Linked DNA regions of Elephas maximus indicus. The protein of the gene in region 1 interacts with the protein of each later gene in a biochemical or structural test. Links are inferred from orthologs where the notes say so. Each region holds a gene or a part of one and is shown on either strand. Other genes may lie near its edges.

Evidence for each region. The genes of interacting proteins can lie anywhere in the genome.
Region 2: the proteins of SRF (region 1) and MYOG form a complex in vitro, tested with the Homo sapiens proteins (2 studies listed by BioGRID and IntAct). The link is inferred for Elephas maximus indicus from reciprocal best matches to the Homo sapiens genes SRF and MYOG.

The regions. Positions count from the first base shown.
Region 1 is NC_064819.1:107,560,093-107,568,299, forward strand, and holds the start of SRF (serum response factor), read left to right. Parts: upstream 1-4,849; 5' UTR 4,850-5,203; coding exon 5,204-5,728; intron 5,729-7,600; coding exon 7,601-7,867; intron 7,868-8,207. UniProt on the Homo sapiens protein: SRF is a transcription factor that binds to the serum response element (SRE), a short sequence of dyad symmetry located 300 bp to the 5' of the site of transcription initiation of some genes (such as FOS).
Region 2 is NC_064836.1:11,997,645-12,005,605, forward strand, and holds MYOG (myogenin), read right to left. Parts: upstream 3,036-7,961; coding exon 2,565-3,035; intron 1,767-2,564; coding exon 1,685-1,766; intron 1,069-1,684; coding exon 947-1,068; downstream 1-946. UniProt on the Homo sapiens protein: Acts as a transcriptional activator that promotes transcription of muscle-specific target genes and plays a role in muscle differentiation, cell cycle exit and muscle atrophy.

The DNA of each region.
Region 1 (8,207 bases):
TGGTTGCACAACTCTGTGAATATACTAAACACCACTAAGCTGTAGACTTTAAATGGGTGAATTTTATGGTATGTGAAATACATCAACAAAGCTGTAAAAAAAAAAAAAAATAACACTTTGTGAGGATCAAAAACAAAAAAATGTAAAGATTAAATAGCATAATGTATGTTTAAAAAAAAAAAAAAGAAGGGAGACATGTTCATGGCCAAAGAGCCCCACCTCTGATTCAGTTAGCATTCGTTTTCTGAGCACCTACCTGTGCCAAACATGGGCTGTGTAGCTGGATTGCAAAGGTGAGCGAGGTGGTCCCTGCCCTCAAGAGCTCACAGTTGTCTGGTCCCTACCTGTTAGGTTGTCTATCTTGTCCTTGCTGGCTGTGCTCACAGGTAGGGGAGAAAAACAATGTCTATTGTATGTGTAGGTGGTGTGGCCAACTGAGTCTTAAGATTTTTTAGTTTTTTATTTTGTTTTCAAGTAATGGGGACGGATTTGTGATCTAGCCACATGCTTCTTGTATGCCGTCTCCCCCAGGATGAAGCAGTGGTAAGGATCTCTGAGAAGAGTGATGAGGGCTTGGGGGTATAGCACCTCAAAAAGAGGCAGAGCTGGCAGACTCCTCTGAGGAAGGCTTTCATTTTGGCCTGGCTGTACCTGCCTGGGCTGACTTGGGGCGGCGGGGGGGGGGGGGGTGCGTGGGAAGAAAAAGTTTAATCCAGAAGTTAAGCCAAGCTCATTGTGTCTCTGGTACTCAACATAGTGCCTAGTGCATAATGGGGCCTGTCGAGTTGGCCCCAACTCATGGCACATGAGCCCTAGTGTTAATGGCAACCACAGGGCCATTGTGATCCATAGGGTTTTCATTGGATGATTTTCAGAAGTATATATAGCTAGGCCTTTTTTCCCAGTTCATCCTAGTTTGGAAGCTCCGCTGCAACCTGTTCAGCATCATGGCAACACACAAGACTCCACTGAGAGCTGGTGGCTGTGCATGAGGGGCAGTGGCTGGGAATCAAACCTGGGTCTCCCACATGGGAGGGGAGAATTCTACCACTCAGCCACCACTGCCCCCATGGGGCCTCACATAGGCTGTGCTTAATGAGTTGAAGTGATACCAATTTAGGTTGTTAAATGTCTCCCTGATTGCCTTCCATTAAGAACTCCTGGGTAAAGATTAATTCCAAATGAGAATGGTTTTAGTGTGTGATAGTAATTTTAAAAAGCAGTCCTTAATTTTTGTTGTAATATTATTTGGAATAAATGCCAGGGTGGAAATGGTGTGGTGTAAAGGGGATAATTTCTCCTCTGTCACAGGATCTGGCTGGAATTCTTGTGCCCTGCTGGAGGTTTTCCAAGGCTTGGGGTAAATGTGAGCTCCCATCGATCCCGGGGGGGCTGGACTGAAATTCCCGTCTGATTTAGGCCTTATCGGAGAAGCTCAAACTTACATTCCAGGAGGCTAGGCAGGGAACTTACCTGAACCCTGTGGGCTGTGTGGGGTCTGTGGTGAACCAGCGAGCAGAAGTCTCTTCTACAGCGGCCACTCAGTGTCAGGCTATAATGCTCCTTTGGCCACCGAGGCCTGGAGTTGCCACTGAGGCCTGGAGTTGCCACAAATCCCACTTTTTTGAGAGAGGCTGGACATTCAGATTCTTAGGTAAAATCTCCTGATTTTTGAATATTATATGGTCCAACCAAAACATAGCTATGATCCAGTTTTGTTTTTGTTTTTATTGTGGTAAATACATATGCAGCAAATCGTTTGCCATTTCAACATTACTCACGTGTACAATTCAGTGGTATTAAATATGTTTAGCATGTTTCCACTTTTTTATTTTGACTTTCTTCCCATCAACAGTTTTGGCCCCTGAACCTGCAGTAATCCAATGGTGTGTGGAAGTAGGTCCCCTCCTACCTCCCTATGGTGGCAAAGGACTGTGAAGATGAAGCCATCCTAGTCAAGGCTCTGAGTCGGGTGAAGGAGCTGTGGCGCTAACAATGGTGTGCAGTGGCCGGATAGTTGGGTGAAATCAGAGAGAGGGCAGCCTGTCTGAAGGAAGGCTGAGAACTGTGCTCATCCAGGACACCCTCTCTTGTGGGTGTGGCAGAGAGCAATTGCCCTATGGGGTGCCCATACTGAGGGCTTGTACCCCAAACGGTCCTCATTTACCTCTAGTGGCTCTGTCAACCCTGCATGTGTCTAAGCTAGTGGTCTTATAGGAAAAAATCTTTAGAGGCCAGGCAGGAATGAAACTTCATGGCTGTGGTTGTAGGAAGACTGCTGCTTGTGTAAAACACATTCCCAAGCATTACTTGTAGTCTCCGAGACCCTTCTGAAACCCATTTTTCTATCTGACCTGTTCTTCCTCTTGAGCTAACACATGCCATATGTTTAAATACCTGCTGTGTAGAGTAAATTAGGGAGAAAAAAAACTATATATAGGTTCGCTATGAGTCAGAATTGCCTCAACGGCAATGGGTTTGGTTTTGGTTTTTTATATATGTACGTGTGTGTGTGTGTGTAGTTGTGAGCTGTCGAGTCGATTCCAACTCATAGTGACCCTATAGGGCAGAGTAGAACTGCCCCATAGGGTTTCCAACGAGCAGTTGGTGGATTCGAACTGCAGACCTTTGGTTAGTAACCTGAGCTCTTAACCACTTTGCCACCAGGGCTCCATATATATATGGTAAAGTTTTTATATATACATATATATATATTTATTTCACAAATCATTTGAACATAATTTTGGCATTTCTCAAAATCTTTGGATTGTGAATTACAGTAAGAAATGTAGTTGACATGGCCATCCAGTACATACGTACATCGAGGCATATAAAATTGACAGTATTCCACCCCTTTGGCCTGTAAAACTGCAATTTCAAATGGTTCAATCTATATATAACTCAATGCAACAAAACTTATTCTCGTGTTTTGTGATACCTATTAATTTTTATTCTTTTAAATTCTGGTTGCAGTACCTAAATTGATTTCATTACCACTAATGGGTCACAATTAATCTCCGCAATAATTTTTAAGGCAGGCATCATCACCATTTTCCACCCATCCACTTAAAAACACTGAGATCTATCCCAGGGTTGAGGTGACCTCACCCCAGGTAGCTCCTATTTACTCTTCACTGACCCTTTAGTGGTGCAGGTGGTGCAGTGGTTAAGCACTCAGCTGCTAACTGAAAGGTCAGCTGTTTAAACCCACCAGCCACTGTGGGAGGAGGATGTGGCAGTCTGCTTCCTTAAAGATTATAGCCTTGGAAACCCTACGGGACAGTTCTACTCTGTTCTCTGGGGTCTCTATGAATCAGAATCAACTCGATGGCCATGGGTTGGGACCCTTTAGTCTTTATCTGATGTAATCTGCATACGAACCTCATAGGATGGGCACCATCATCTAAGAATACGGAGTTTGGAAAGGTCAAGTCACTTGTTTCCAGGCATAGGACTAGGTAGAGGAAGATTCTACTTGTAAATAATTTCTGCAACAGCGAAAAGCCCAAGCTATTTTCACTGCTTTGGCGATAAGACCCAGACCAGGACTTCTTACCATGGACCTGGACTTCGAAGCGTCCCAGTTCTAATCTTTTTTTTCTCTTCCGGACTTTTTCTTGGCTTTCCAGAGAAAGGGGTGTGTGTGTGTGTGTAGAAAGGGGTGTGTGTGTGTGTAGAAAGGGTGTGTGTGTGTGTGTGTGTGTGTGTGTGTAGAAAGGGGTGTGTGTGTGTGTGTGTGTGTGTGTGTGTAGAAAGGGGTGTGTGTGTGTGTGTAGAAAGGGGTGTGTGTGTGTGTGTGTGTGTGGCTTTCCAGAGAGATGTGTGTGTGTGTGTGTGTGTGTGTGCGTGTGGCTTTCTAGAGAGATGTGTGTGAGTGTGCGCGCGCGGTTATGCTTAAACTTTCCGCCAGGCTGTACTTTTTCTCTATGAGTCGGAAGCGACTGTACAGCAACGGGTTTGGGTTTGTTTTTGTTTTTGTTTTTTTAATACTTTCAGGCCTTTGCACAGGCTGTGGGGTGCCCTTTATCCTCGGGATCACCCCCTCCCCCAGCCCAGCCTGCAGCTGGAAGTCTTCACTGATCTCCAGCTCTCCTCCCTACCCCCATCGGGAACCTGAAGGCGACTGTCTCGCCCGGCCCTTTCCAGATGTACGTCTGCCAAAGACACCCCAGTGTAGAGGATGATGAATGAGAACAGGGGAGCAGGCCTGGTGGGAAAGTGTCGTCGCCATGAAAAGAGAGGGAAAGGGAAGGAAAGTTGGGGGGAGGGGAATGCTTAGAGTGGAACAGCGGGGGCGCGACAAGTCTGGACGCTGGGAACCCAAACCCCCTCCGCTGGGCCAGTAAGTTTGTCTCCCTCAGAAAGGCGTGGGGAAGTGTTCCAATCCCTGCACTCCTTCCTTAGAATTTGGGTTGTATTTTCTTATTTACTGCAACCCCCACAATATCCTCAGGGGCTCCCCCAGTGTTTGGTTCCAGCCTTCTCAGTCCCCGGCTCCCAGTCTGCTCCCTCTCCTTCGCGAGGCAACGCTCCAGCCCTCTCCCGGGCTTTCTCTCCGCACGTCCCTCCCAATTCTCTCCACCATTCTCTACTTGGGGGGGCGGAGCCGTACCTCCTCTTCTGTTTCTTTAAGAAGCGTCGGCTCCTCCCCTTTGGGAGTCGCCGTCTGACGCGAGATGACAGCAGCGAGTTCGGTATGTCTATGCAAATAAGAGCCTCCTGAGGGCCAATGGGGAGCGGAAGTGCCGGAACCGCGGACCAATGGGGCGGGGGCGCTGGGGCTCACCATATAAGGAGCAGCCTCGCCATAAAAGGAAACATTGTATCTCTTTATATGGGGGGAAGGGTCGGGGGATCCCTCCGCCGCCAGCGCGTGGTCGCGGCCCCCTCCACCCGCCGTCTCGGCCGCGGCCAGCAGCCCCTGCCCCCCGGGGGACGCTGACGGCCGCCGGGCGCGCCGCCCGAGCACACGGACAGGGGGCGCTGCGCGCGGCCTGGGGCAACCCGGGCCACAGGGGCAGGAAAGTGAGGGCCCAGGTCGGCCCGGGCGTGCAGGGGCCCCGGGTTCGCTGCGGCGGCAGCTACAGCGATAGCGGCTCTAGAAGCATCAGGAGCGCGGGGTTGAGCCGGGAAGCCGATGGCGGCGGCAGCAGCGGCTCCGATTCCTCGCTGACTGCCCGTCCACCCTTCTGCATTGAGCGCCATGTTACCGAGCCAAGCTGGGGCCGCGGCGGCGCTGGGCCGGGGCTCGGCCCTGGGAGGCAGCCTGAACCGGACCTCGACGGGACGGCCGGGCGGTGGAGGTGGTGGCGGCGGCGGGACTCGCGGGGCTAACGGGGCCCGGGTCCCCGGGAACGGCGCGGGGCTCGGGCCGGGCCGCCTGGAGCGGGAGGCTGCAGCAGCGGCGGCAAGCGCCCCGGCGCCCACCGCGGGGGCCCTCTACAGCGGCAGCGAGGGCGACTCGGAGTCGGGCGAGGAGGAGGAGCTGGGCACCGAGCGGCGCGGCCTGAAACGGAGCCTGAGTGAGATGGAGCTCGGCGTGGTGGTCGGTGGGCCCGAGGCGTCGGCGGCGGCCACCGGGGGTTACGGGCCGGTGAGCGGCGCGGTGAGCGGGGCCAAGCCGGGTAAGAAGACCCGGGGCCGCGTGAAGATCAAGATGGAGTTCATCGACAACAAGCTGCGGCGCTACACGACCTTCAGCAAGAGGAAGACAGGCATCATGAAGAAGGTACCAGGCGGGGAGGCTGGCCGGCCACGGGGGACCGAGAAGGGGTGGGGACGCGCAGGGGGAGCCCGGGAGGAAGGCAGAGTCGAGGCGAAGGTGAGAGGCGGCGAATCCGCAGGAGGTGTGTGGGAGGAGATGGCTGTTACCGGAGTAGGGCGAAAGGGGTGGGGCGGTCAGGGAAATGTGGGGAGAGGGGAGATGCAGCGAACGTCCGGGGAAGAAGGGAAAGGCGCCGAGGTGGGAGTGACGGGCACCAGAGAGGAAGAGGGCCCTAGCGAGTGAAGGGGTAAGGAGGGGTAATGGGAAGCTGCAAGGCTGCCGGTACGGCATCTGATGAGACATAGGGGTCAGTAGGTCTTGTACTCCCGGCGCTGGGGCGAGGGAACGCTGGAAAGGCAGGGTGCAGAAGAGAAGGTAGGGAGGTGAAGAGCCTGGAGCTGGGAGGGTAGCTGTAATGACAACAATGAGCAAGCATGTGTGGGAGGAAGGTGGGCACCACCTGAGTAGTGCTGGCTGGAAAGACAGGCGGAACCTATCCGGGCTCAAGGGCCCCAGGTAAGGGAATAGGGCGGGAAAAGTGGTGTTGCCGTGAGCAGCAGGGACCAAGCCTTGCAATGACCATGTGTCTTCCATTGCCATCCCCTGGAAGCCGGCATCCTTCTAGTGGGACAGGCTGTGGAACCACCTGCCTTTGGGACAAATGTGGTTTTCAGCCCAAGGCAAAATCTGTGCATGGAATTTGGGAGAAAAACAGGGAGGTTTGCAGAGAAACATAGAAATTCCTCCTATGCCAGCCAGTTATCCAGTGAAAAGGAGTGAGGAGAAGAGGCATCTTGGGATGTAGAAGATGGGAAGGGATGGAAGCAGAGAAAATGGGAGCTAAGGAACTAGAACCTTGGGGGCTTTGGCCGTGTTTATATCTGTACCACATAGAAACCGGAGCTGCTCCCAAGGTGGGGTGTGGAACTTTCTTGGGAATGAGTGTGGCATCTGTAGGGTCATCCTTGAGGGCTCCCCGGTGTGTATTCACGGTGGGGTAAAACGCTTTGCCCTCAAGTCGATTCTGACTCATAGCAATCCTTTAGGACGGAGTAGAACTGCCTCATAGAGTTTCCAAGGAGCGCCTGGTGGATTCAGACAGCTGACCTTTTGGTTAGCAGCCACTTAACCGCTACGCCACGCCATGTTGGGGTGGTAGGTACTAATCTAGTCCCCACCTCGCATCACTCCCAACATTGCTGTATCAGTGTCCCTTGTCACTTAATCATTAGTGGAGAAGGTTGAGTGGGGAGCTTCATGGAGGAAAGACTGCTTTTTCCTCCCTTACTTATCCTGCCTCCCCATGAAAAAGAAAAAAGGGTAGTACAGTATTGCAGGGCAGAAGGACAACCAAGGCCCTGGCAACAGGTTAGGGCCTGTTGCAATTTCTGGGAAGACATATGGGACAGTTTGGAGCTTAGGTATCCCCTTATCCCTCATATCTTATATGACTTTCCATGTGGTCAGGACCCCATCCTGGTTCCTGTGACACTGTGGAGGGAGTGGGAGCCATCTCTCTGAAACACCAAGCTGTGGTGGGGTGCAGCTAACTGGACCCCTCTGGGTCACCTGTGGTCATATGTTCTGTCACCAGGCGGTGACTGTTTGCTTCAGGGATCTGCAGTTTGGTGGTATAACTCAAAGAAGCATGGATAGTTTTGCTGCTCCCCAGATCACCTTCTGATATCCTGATAGGACCCTAGAGTCACTGGAGAGGAAGGTCACGGGAGTTGGGGCTTGAGATCACTGTGGTCTTTTTCTCTTTTTTACTTTTAAAGCCAGGTCGGAATGAAAGTGAAAAGTTTTCTGACCTGCCCATCTTACCCCCCACTGCAGGCCTATGAACTGTCCACACTAACAGGGACACAGGTGCTGTTGCTGGTGGCCAGTGAGACAGGCCATGTGTATACCTTTGCCACCCGGAAACTGCAGCCCATGATCACCAGTGAGACAGGCAAGGCACTGATTCAGACCTGCCTCAACTCGCCAGACTCTCCACCTCGCTCAGACCCCACCACAGACCAGAGAATGAGTGCCACGGGCTTCGAAGAGACAGACCTCACCTACCAGGTGTCCGAGTCCGACAGTAGTGGGGAGACCAAGGTGTGTTTGGGTCACCTATCTGAGGGGAGGGAAGAGGAGAGGATTGATGGGCAGAGAAAGGAGGAGGTCCCTCTCCCTCCGTCACCCAAGAAGAATGGTGGATAGGTGCCTGCGGATGTGGAGTGGGTGTTAGTGCCTCTCATCCTGGGGGACAGGTGTTCATCCTCGCCATCCTGACACGAGGCCCGCCCCCTAGATAAGCGGGCGGCCTCCGTGCCCATATAAGGCCGGCTCCGGCTCCACGCCGGCCTCCCGCCCGCAACCCAACTGCCTGGCAGGGCCCTTGCATTCCTCCCGCCAGCTGTCTTCCCGCTGGGGGGCGGGGGGAGCGGGGGTGTAG
Region 2 (7,961 bases), on another chromosome or scaffold:
CCTAGTGATCACCCACAAGATGGTTCCTCCAATGCTTTTGGAGTGTTGGTTCTTCCCCAAAGCTCCATTCTCTCCCATCCTTGGAAGCCCAGCCCCGGGAGCATATCTGGATCGCTGAGTGGAAGGGCCAAGCGTGTCATGTCCGGTCTCCCTCCCCAATCTACATCATCATTGACACTCTTCTAGCAACTAGTCTTTATTCATTTTTTAAAAAAGGAAATCCAAATAAGTTAGCAAAAAATTACAAAACAATGGCAAAACCACACAATGCTTAGTTAACAAAAGAAATCACCCCAAGAGTCCCCCTCCCCCCTCCCTGCCTGTTCCTGGCAACTTCAGCACAGGAGACCTTGGTCAGATGGCTGTTTTACAAACAACACACAAAACAAAACAAAACATAAACCTCTGGAAGGTTCCCAATAGTCACTGCAAAAGCTTGGCCCCCCATGGACTTAGGAACAAGATTGTTCCCCCCCCCCCCCACTTTCTCCTCCCTCAATTCAGGGCAGGCCCAGCCCAGCCCCTGGCTTCAGAAGAGACAAAAGCAGGAGTGCACAGCTTGTCCAGGTCAGGACACTGACTTTGTCTCTTGACATGTTTCTTTAGGTAAGTGGGAGTTGGAGGCTGCATTATGTTAAAAGGGAAGCTCCTGAGTTTGCCCCTTTACCCAGGGGGCATACACAAGGGGGTGCTCTGGTCCCCTGCTTTGTCTCCCGTGAAACAGGATGCCCTCTGCTCTAAGGAGTCAGCTGAATGAGGGAGTCCATTCCCCCACTGGGTGGTAGGTTAACCTTACGTAGAGGAGGAGAGGATAGTCTGGCATTTGGCAGCCCTGGGGCTGCCTTCCTGGCATCAGGACAGCCTGGTTTAGGAGGCCCCTGCTGCAGAAGTGGTGGTGGCTCTGGCCAGTTTGGGGGCATCCGTATGCCTGGCCTGGCAGACCATCTCAGTTGGGCATGCTTTCGTCTGCGAAGGCCACAGAAACATCCTCCACTGTGATGCTGTCCACGATAGAGGTGAGGGAGTGCAGGTTGTGGGCATCCGCAGGGTCGGGTGTGAGCAGGTGATCTGCAAGGAGAAGGTGGGGAGGGTGTGACCTGGGGGGGGTGAAGGGGGTCTTGAGGCCCAGAATAGGGAATGAACCCCTTGGGGTGTCATAGGTTTTTCAGGACAGATGGGCAAGCAAAACTCAGGAATCCTACTCCCCAGCCCGTGCCTTTCCAAATGCCCGGTGTGTGTGTGTGTGTGTGTGTGTGCGCGCGCGCGCGTGTGTGTGTGCCTCCTCCCTGAGCTCCCCTAGTGGGGCTAGGATTTGGGAGCAGCTATTCCGAGGTGCAGCCAGGGCAGTGTATCCTTGGAGACTGGAACTGCCCTTTGCTGGGCCCAGTTTTGCAGCACTGACTCAGCAGTTCCCAGGGACCCCTGGGGCAGGAGCATTCTCCTCTCTGTGGAGAAGGTCAGCTCCCGGGCACCAGCTGGGGCACTGTAGGAGGCCTCCTTCGCTGGTCAAGGTCTCAGGGAGGCATGCTTGGGAACCTGGGTTCAACAGTTCCAAGGAGAGGCCAAGGAAAGAGAGCTGGAGCAGGAAATAAGGTAAGAGGGGAGAACTGGGCCTAGGGGGCTGAAAAGGGGATGGGAACTGAGGGATCTGAGCCAAGGTTACCAGGATCCAGGCCTCACTTACCTCCTGGGTTGGGTCCGAACTCTAGTGCGCTGCCCCACTCTGGACTGCAGGAGGCGCTGTGGGAGCTGCAGTCACTGGGCACCTGCAAGATAGCAGGGTGGCGGGCGGGGGAAGCCCAAGGTCGGGACACAGCCATTCTCAGACGTCTCTGACCAATCCCCTTGGGCAGAAGCATCTGTGGTGGGGTTGGAGGGTGGGTCCTGGATGGCACCCCTTCAGCCCAGGCCACCCCCCACTCAAGAATCTTCACAGCTGGCTCCTTTCACACCCCCAACCTGACCCAGAGCCTCTGCTTCCAGGCCTTCCGTGGCCTTGACCCTGGGAGGTGATTCTGCCCTCACAAGACACCCAGCTTAAAGGGCCCCTTGGTTTCCTGCCTCTGGGGTAAGGCTGAAGGAGGCAGAGTGTCTGGCCTGAGCAGGGCCACTTCTGCTCAGGCCTTCTGGGTTCCAGTGGGGCTGAGGGGGATTGGTTTTTGCTCTGCTCAGCCACACCCAGGGTGAGGGTGGGGTGGGGGCAAAGCGATCTTCTCCGATGAGCTTGGCCTTGCTCTTTGGACCTATCTCCAGGCCCCGGGATTAATCCTCCCCCAGCGGGCTGACATGGACGTGTTCCTGTGTCCCTCCTACAGTTCAGAGCACACATACCCCAATTGCACCTCCTCCCATCGCCTTTATCGTGTCGGGAAAGGACATGGGGACATATGTGGTCAGCTGGACAGACGCAGCTCTGACAAAGGCAGGAGTCCTGCAGCCCCTCAAGACCCCTCTGCCTGGCACTGGCTTTAACCCTCTAAGCCCCTTTGTGCTGTCCTGAGGCTGTCCAAGTGCCTCCCTCTGGCCCACTCCCCCTGGGCCAGGTGGATGGGATGGCCACTTACCCCTGGCTGGGGCCCGCCCCCGCCTCGGTAGCGGAGGTCACGCTCCTCCTGGTTGAGGGTGCTGAGCAGGGCTTGCAGGCGCTCAATATACTGGATGGCGCTGCGCAGGATCTCCACCTTGGGCAGCCGCTGGTTGGGGTTGAGCAGGGTGCTCCTTTTCAGGGCCTCGAAGGCCTCATTCACCTTCTTGAGCCTGCGTTTCTCCCTCAGCGTGGCTGCCCGCCGCCGGTCCACGGACACCGACTTCCTCTTACACACCTTACACGCCCACGGGAGGCACTGGCCTGGGCAGTGTTCTGGGGTCCCCAGCCCCTTGTCTTCTAGGGGCCCTCGGGCCTCAGGGCTCAGGCCGAGCTCAGTCCGCTCATAGCCCGGAGGCTCAAAGCCCTGGAGGTGAACGGGCAGGTAGTTTTCCCCATCATAAAAGCGGGGTTCCTGGTAGAAGTAGGGGGATGTCTCATACAGCTCCATGGGGTCGGGAAAGACTTGTTCCTGCCACCAGCCCCCAAGCTCCTGCAGCCCCTCACGCCAACTGCTGGGTGCCATTTAAACCTTCCCTGCTGGCATGGAACCAGAGATAAATATAGCTAACGCCACAGAAACCTGAGCCCCCCTCTAAGCTGTTGCTGCACATCAAGACGTTTACAGTGGATTAGATGTGATTCCCCTTCCCTCTCCCCCACGGCCCCCACCCCACCCATCCAGCCTGCCCCTGGCCCAGGCCGGCTCCTGTGCACGGGCAGGGAGGCCGTCGGGTGTAATTTGATTAGTTTTCATTTCTCCCGTGGGACAGGGGAGGTGGGGGAGGACAGGCATTCTCCTCTCATCTGCTCCCTTCAATTACTCCTAGCTGGGCGCCTGCCTGCTCTCTTCTTGCTAGTCCCAAAGAAGCTGAAGGGGCGGGGGGTGGGGGGCAAGGAAGAGGTGGGTTCAGGCTGGAAGGGACCTTAAGAAGCCAATTTATCCATCCCCCTGCTTCCTGACCAGCACCTTAACCAGACTATGTCAGTCAGATAAAACTCTTGAAGAACCCCCTTCCCAAAGAACAACACTGCTTCAAATTTTGAGGACATGTGGGGTACTCGCTGACCAGGGATAAGAAGGAGTGAAACTCAAAAGACAAATAGATTCAGCTTCGGGTTTCCAAAGTAGGTTTGACATCATGTATTCTCTCAGGTCTTGTGTGATTGCAGGGAAATTGAGGCAAAAGGATTTTTGGTTTTGTTTTTGTTTTTGGCAGAGTCAGGGGAAATTTTTCTTTTAATACAGCTGGTCAGAGTAAGAGTGGGTATTAGAATTTGCAGCTACACCTTGCCTCCTCCTCACAGTGTTATCCACTATTAAACCCTCCATCTCTTCCCTCCTTCACTCTGGATCACTTATTGTCCTTCTGTGTCCTCCTCAACTCTGTTTCTAGCCCCATTAAAAAAAAAAAAAACCCAAACCCGTTGCTGTCGAGTCAATTCCAACTCATAGTGACCCTATAGAACGGAGTAGAGCTGCCCCATAGAGTTTCCAAGGAGCTCCTGGCGGATTTGAACTGCTGACCTTTAGGTTAGCAGCCATAGCATTTAGCCCCATTAGGACACCAGAATTTTCCTGATTCCTTATGGTGGATGAAATGAGAAGGAGAGAAAGTAGGGCCCTTCAGACTCAGTTTAAATCTCTGTTCTTCTTGATCATCTGGCTTGGTTGGTCTGCCTCTTCCTGTCTGTGCCACCAATTTACACATATTGTACAGGTCTCAAGTGTCAAGTGAAGGAGTGACTATTTAACCTTTCAGGTTCTCAGCCCATGATCACCTTTCAGTAGAGGCCTCGGGGTCTGAGAGGACTCATTCCTCCCAGTGCACTGGGCAGGCCTCAGATACCAACAGTGGACAAGACTCAGTCTCAGCACTGAGGGATTACAGGGAAGCCAAAGGCAGGGTCTCTACCTTTGAGGACCTTACCATCTAGTAGACCACAGTGGCCACCTAGTTTACACCACACCTAATGCCTGAACCCCCTCTCCAGGTAGCCATTGTCCAGCTTGTGCTGACCTCACAAGCCCACCCATTCCACTGCTGTGCAGCTGTGGCCACAGGGAGTCCTGGGTTTTGACCTGCAATCTGCCCCCTCTATCCTTCACCCTTTGGTCCCAGTTCTTCCCTCTAGGACCCTACAGATTAAGTCTGACTCCCCCAACATATGACAGATGATATTGATCTTATAATTCAAGCCAGTGGCGAGGACAGTAAGAGGAAGAGAAACCATGCTTGGGGCTCAGGGAAGACTCTGCAGGGTAGGTGAGATCTGAATGGCGGTTGAAGACATCTGCCTTACCTCCTCTTGTTATCCATGACATGGAGCCAGGAACATCCTGGTGTCCTTTTGGGGCAGGACACAGAGATGAGGAGGGGACATAGATGGACAACAAAGGAGCCCTGAGCATGTTAGGGGGGCAGTGAAGTCCTAATGTGATTCTTGTCCTAACCAGCACCACGGAAGGTGGCCGCATGGGGGCTGGGAGTTCTAAACCTTCTTTGGCCCCAACCAATTGGGCTGAAAAAGAAAGAATCTCTACTCCCAAGACACACTCCCCTCACCACCAACAAAGAAAGGAAAAAACAAACGCTTTGCCTCAGTTTACACACTAATCCTGTGAGCCCTGAGAAAAGACATGATGTTGAAGCTATTATGGAAATCCAGAAGCTGCATTTTTTATCCTTTTGGGATTGAATCTGACTTACCCTTAAACAATGTCTCTACTTCCTCAAAAACTGAAAGAGAAATGGGTTTGTTGTATGATGGTTTCCAGGATCTTACTATCTAGTTCTGGTGAGCATGGACACTGAAATGTGGATGCTAAATGACAATGCAAGACAGAGCTATTTTAATTCAAGGGCAAACATGGGGGCCATGATCAACTGCAAATGAGTGGATTCATCAAAGAAGTATTTCAGTTGTTTATAGAAAGGCAAAACCATGGAAGGCCAGGGTCTCTGAGGAAGGCCGGACGAGGAGGAGAACACAGGCTGGGCCATGGAGAACAAGCAGGATTTGGATGGGAAATGGAGATCTCTCTGGAGAGCAAAGGGGGCATTGGGTAGATCAGTCTGTATGGAGCTCAGGTTCACGTAAGGTGGTGACTGGGGACAAGTCTGCAAAAACGGGTGGAAGCTCAACTGGGCATGGAAGAACTTGATTGAATACTGAGGTGAGGAGACCAAATAGAACATGACAGTAATCCAGGAATAAGGTGATGAAGGTCTGATCAACCCACTCAGAGGCATGAGGATGGATCATCCACCCAGACAGGATCCACTGTTCAGGCTGGCAAAAAAGAATGGTGTGTATGTGTGTTTCTCATAGGGGGTGATTTGTTGTATTAATTGGAATGGCACCCGGAACATGGAAACACGGAATAAATGTTAGTCCTTTTCCTTGTGTTGTCCTTTTCTCTACTCCTGATCATTACCACTCCCCCCTTAGACTCATTGTTCTCCTTCACAGGGTGTTTCCCTGGCTGTGCTCATTGCCTCCAGGAAACCAGAGTAGCACAAATGGGGGAGGGAAAACCTGACTCCACCATGCATGTGCAGATTTATTCATTTAGTCCTTCAATCAAGACACATGTATTGAGCACCTTGTGCGAGATGATAAGGTCACTAACCTGAATAAGACATGGTCTTTTGGCCTTTGAAGTACTCACAGTTGAGTAAGGAAAATAAGTACCCAAAGTTGTTTACTCAAGGTAGAAAGTGGTCGTTTTTGTTGTTGTGTGCCATCGAGTTGATTCTGACTCACAGCAACCCTATATGACAGAGTAGAACTGCCCCATAGGGTTTTCTAGGCTTTAATCTTTAGAGGAGACTCAGGTATTTCTACCACCACCACCAGTTGTCTTTGAGTCAACTCCAACTCATGGCGATCCCATGTGTGTCAGAGTAGAACTGTGCTCCATAAGGTTTTCAATGGCTGATTTTTTAGCATTAGATCTCTGGGCCTTTCTTCTGAGGTGCTTCTGATGTGGACTCGAACCTCCAACCTTTTGGCTGGCAGCTGAGTACATTAACCATTTGCACCACCCAGGGACTCCTCAGGTATCTCTGACCTCCCAACACCCTGTTACCCACCTTATTCCTCTCTCAGAGCTGAGCTGTGGAGAAGCTGCATCTAGAAGCTCAGCTTTCCTCCTCCTGCACACCCCTCCACCCCCAGGAGCTGTCCTCTGATGGATGGGAACACATTGGTGCCAAGCACAGAGCAGCCTTTGTGCTCCACCACCAGCGGCGATCCATCAGCTCTAACCTGACAGCGGGGGGCCGTCCAGCCCTAATCCCCACCCCTGCTGGCTTGGGCACACAGGACCCCCTGCCCCCGACTGGAGCTTTCTCTTCTAGCAGTCCTGCTCTCTCCAGAGGAAGCCCTTATCCCCCTGCTGGGGCTTCAGGACCAGGCTGTTTGCTCCTCTGCTTGGACTCTCTCAACTTGATTCTATTTGCATGCTGGGCTGATCCCATTTGCATAGTAGCGGTGGGATTTCAAAGTGCTCAGAAATACCCTTCACCTACTCCCTGCTCCTTCCTTTCCGCTGTGCCACACACGGTAATCCCAGCTCTCTGACCTCTAGCATCTTCCAGGCCCTGCTTACCTGGCAAGTGGGCTTACCTGGGCTGCCAGGTTGCTTGGCTAAAATCAAAACAAATTTCTCACTGAGCATCTCATGTGCTTCGGAATAGAAACAAGAAGGAGAAGGGTCTGGCAGGGTGGGAACCTCTGGCTTCTCCAAACAGACCCCATCTTTTGTTTCCCTAGGCTAGGTCTCTGGGTATTATTATTATGATTATTTTAGTAATATTTTATTGTGCTTTCGTTGAAGGTTTACACAGCAGTTTATGTTCCCATTCAACAATTTCTATACAAGTTGTTCACTGACATTGGCTGCATCCTTCACAGTGCATGAATATTCTCATGATTTCCATTCTGGTTGTTCCGTTTCCATTAATCTAGTTTCCCTGCCCCCTTATATTCTCATCTTTGTATTAAAGTAACTGTTGACCATGTGGTCTCATGTAGGTGATTTTTTTAAAAAGCACAGTACTTACAGATGATATTCATTACTTTTTGAGCCAATTTGTTATTCAGCTACACGGTGACCTCAGGGGTTAGTTTTGGTTCAAGGTTTGGTGAGTATCTCAGGCCAGTAGTTTTGGGAGTTGTCTAGTCTTAACCAGTCCAGTAGGTCTGGTTTTTTGTTGTTGTTTTGTTTTTAAGAATTTCAGGTTCTGTTCCACATTTTTCTCTTATTCTATCAGGGTCCGTCTATGGTGGCCTTAATTAAGATGGTTGGTAGTTGTAGTCAGGTACCATCTAGTTCTTCTGGTCTCAGGGTAGATGAGGCTGTGGTTTGTGT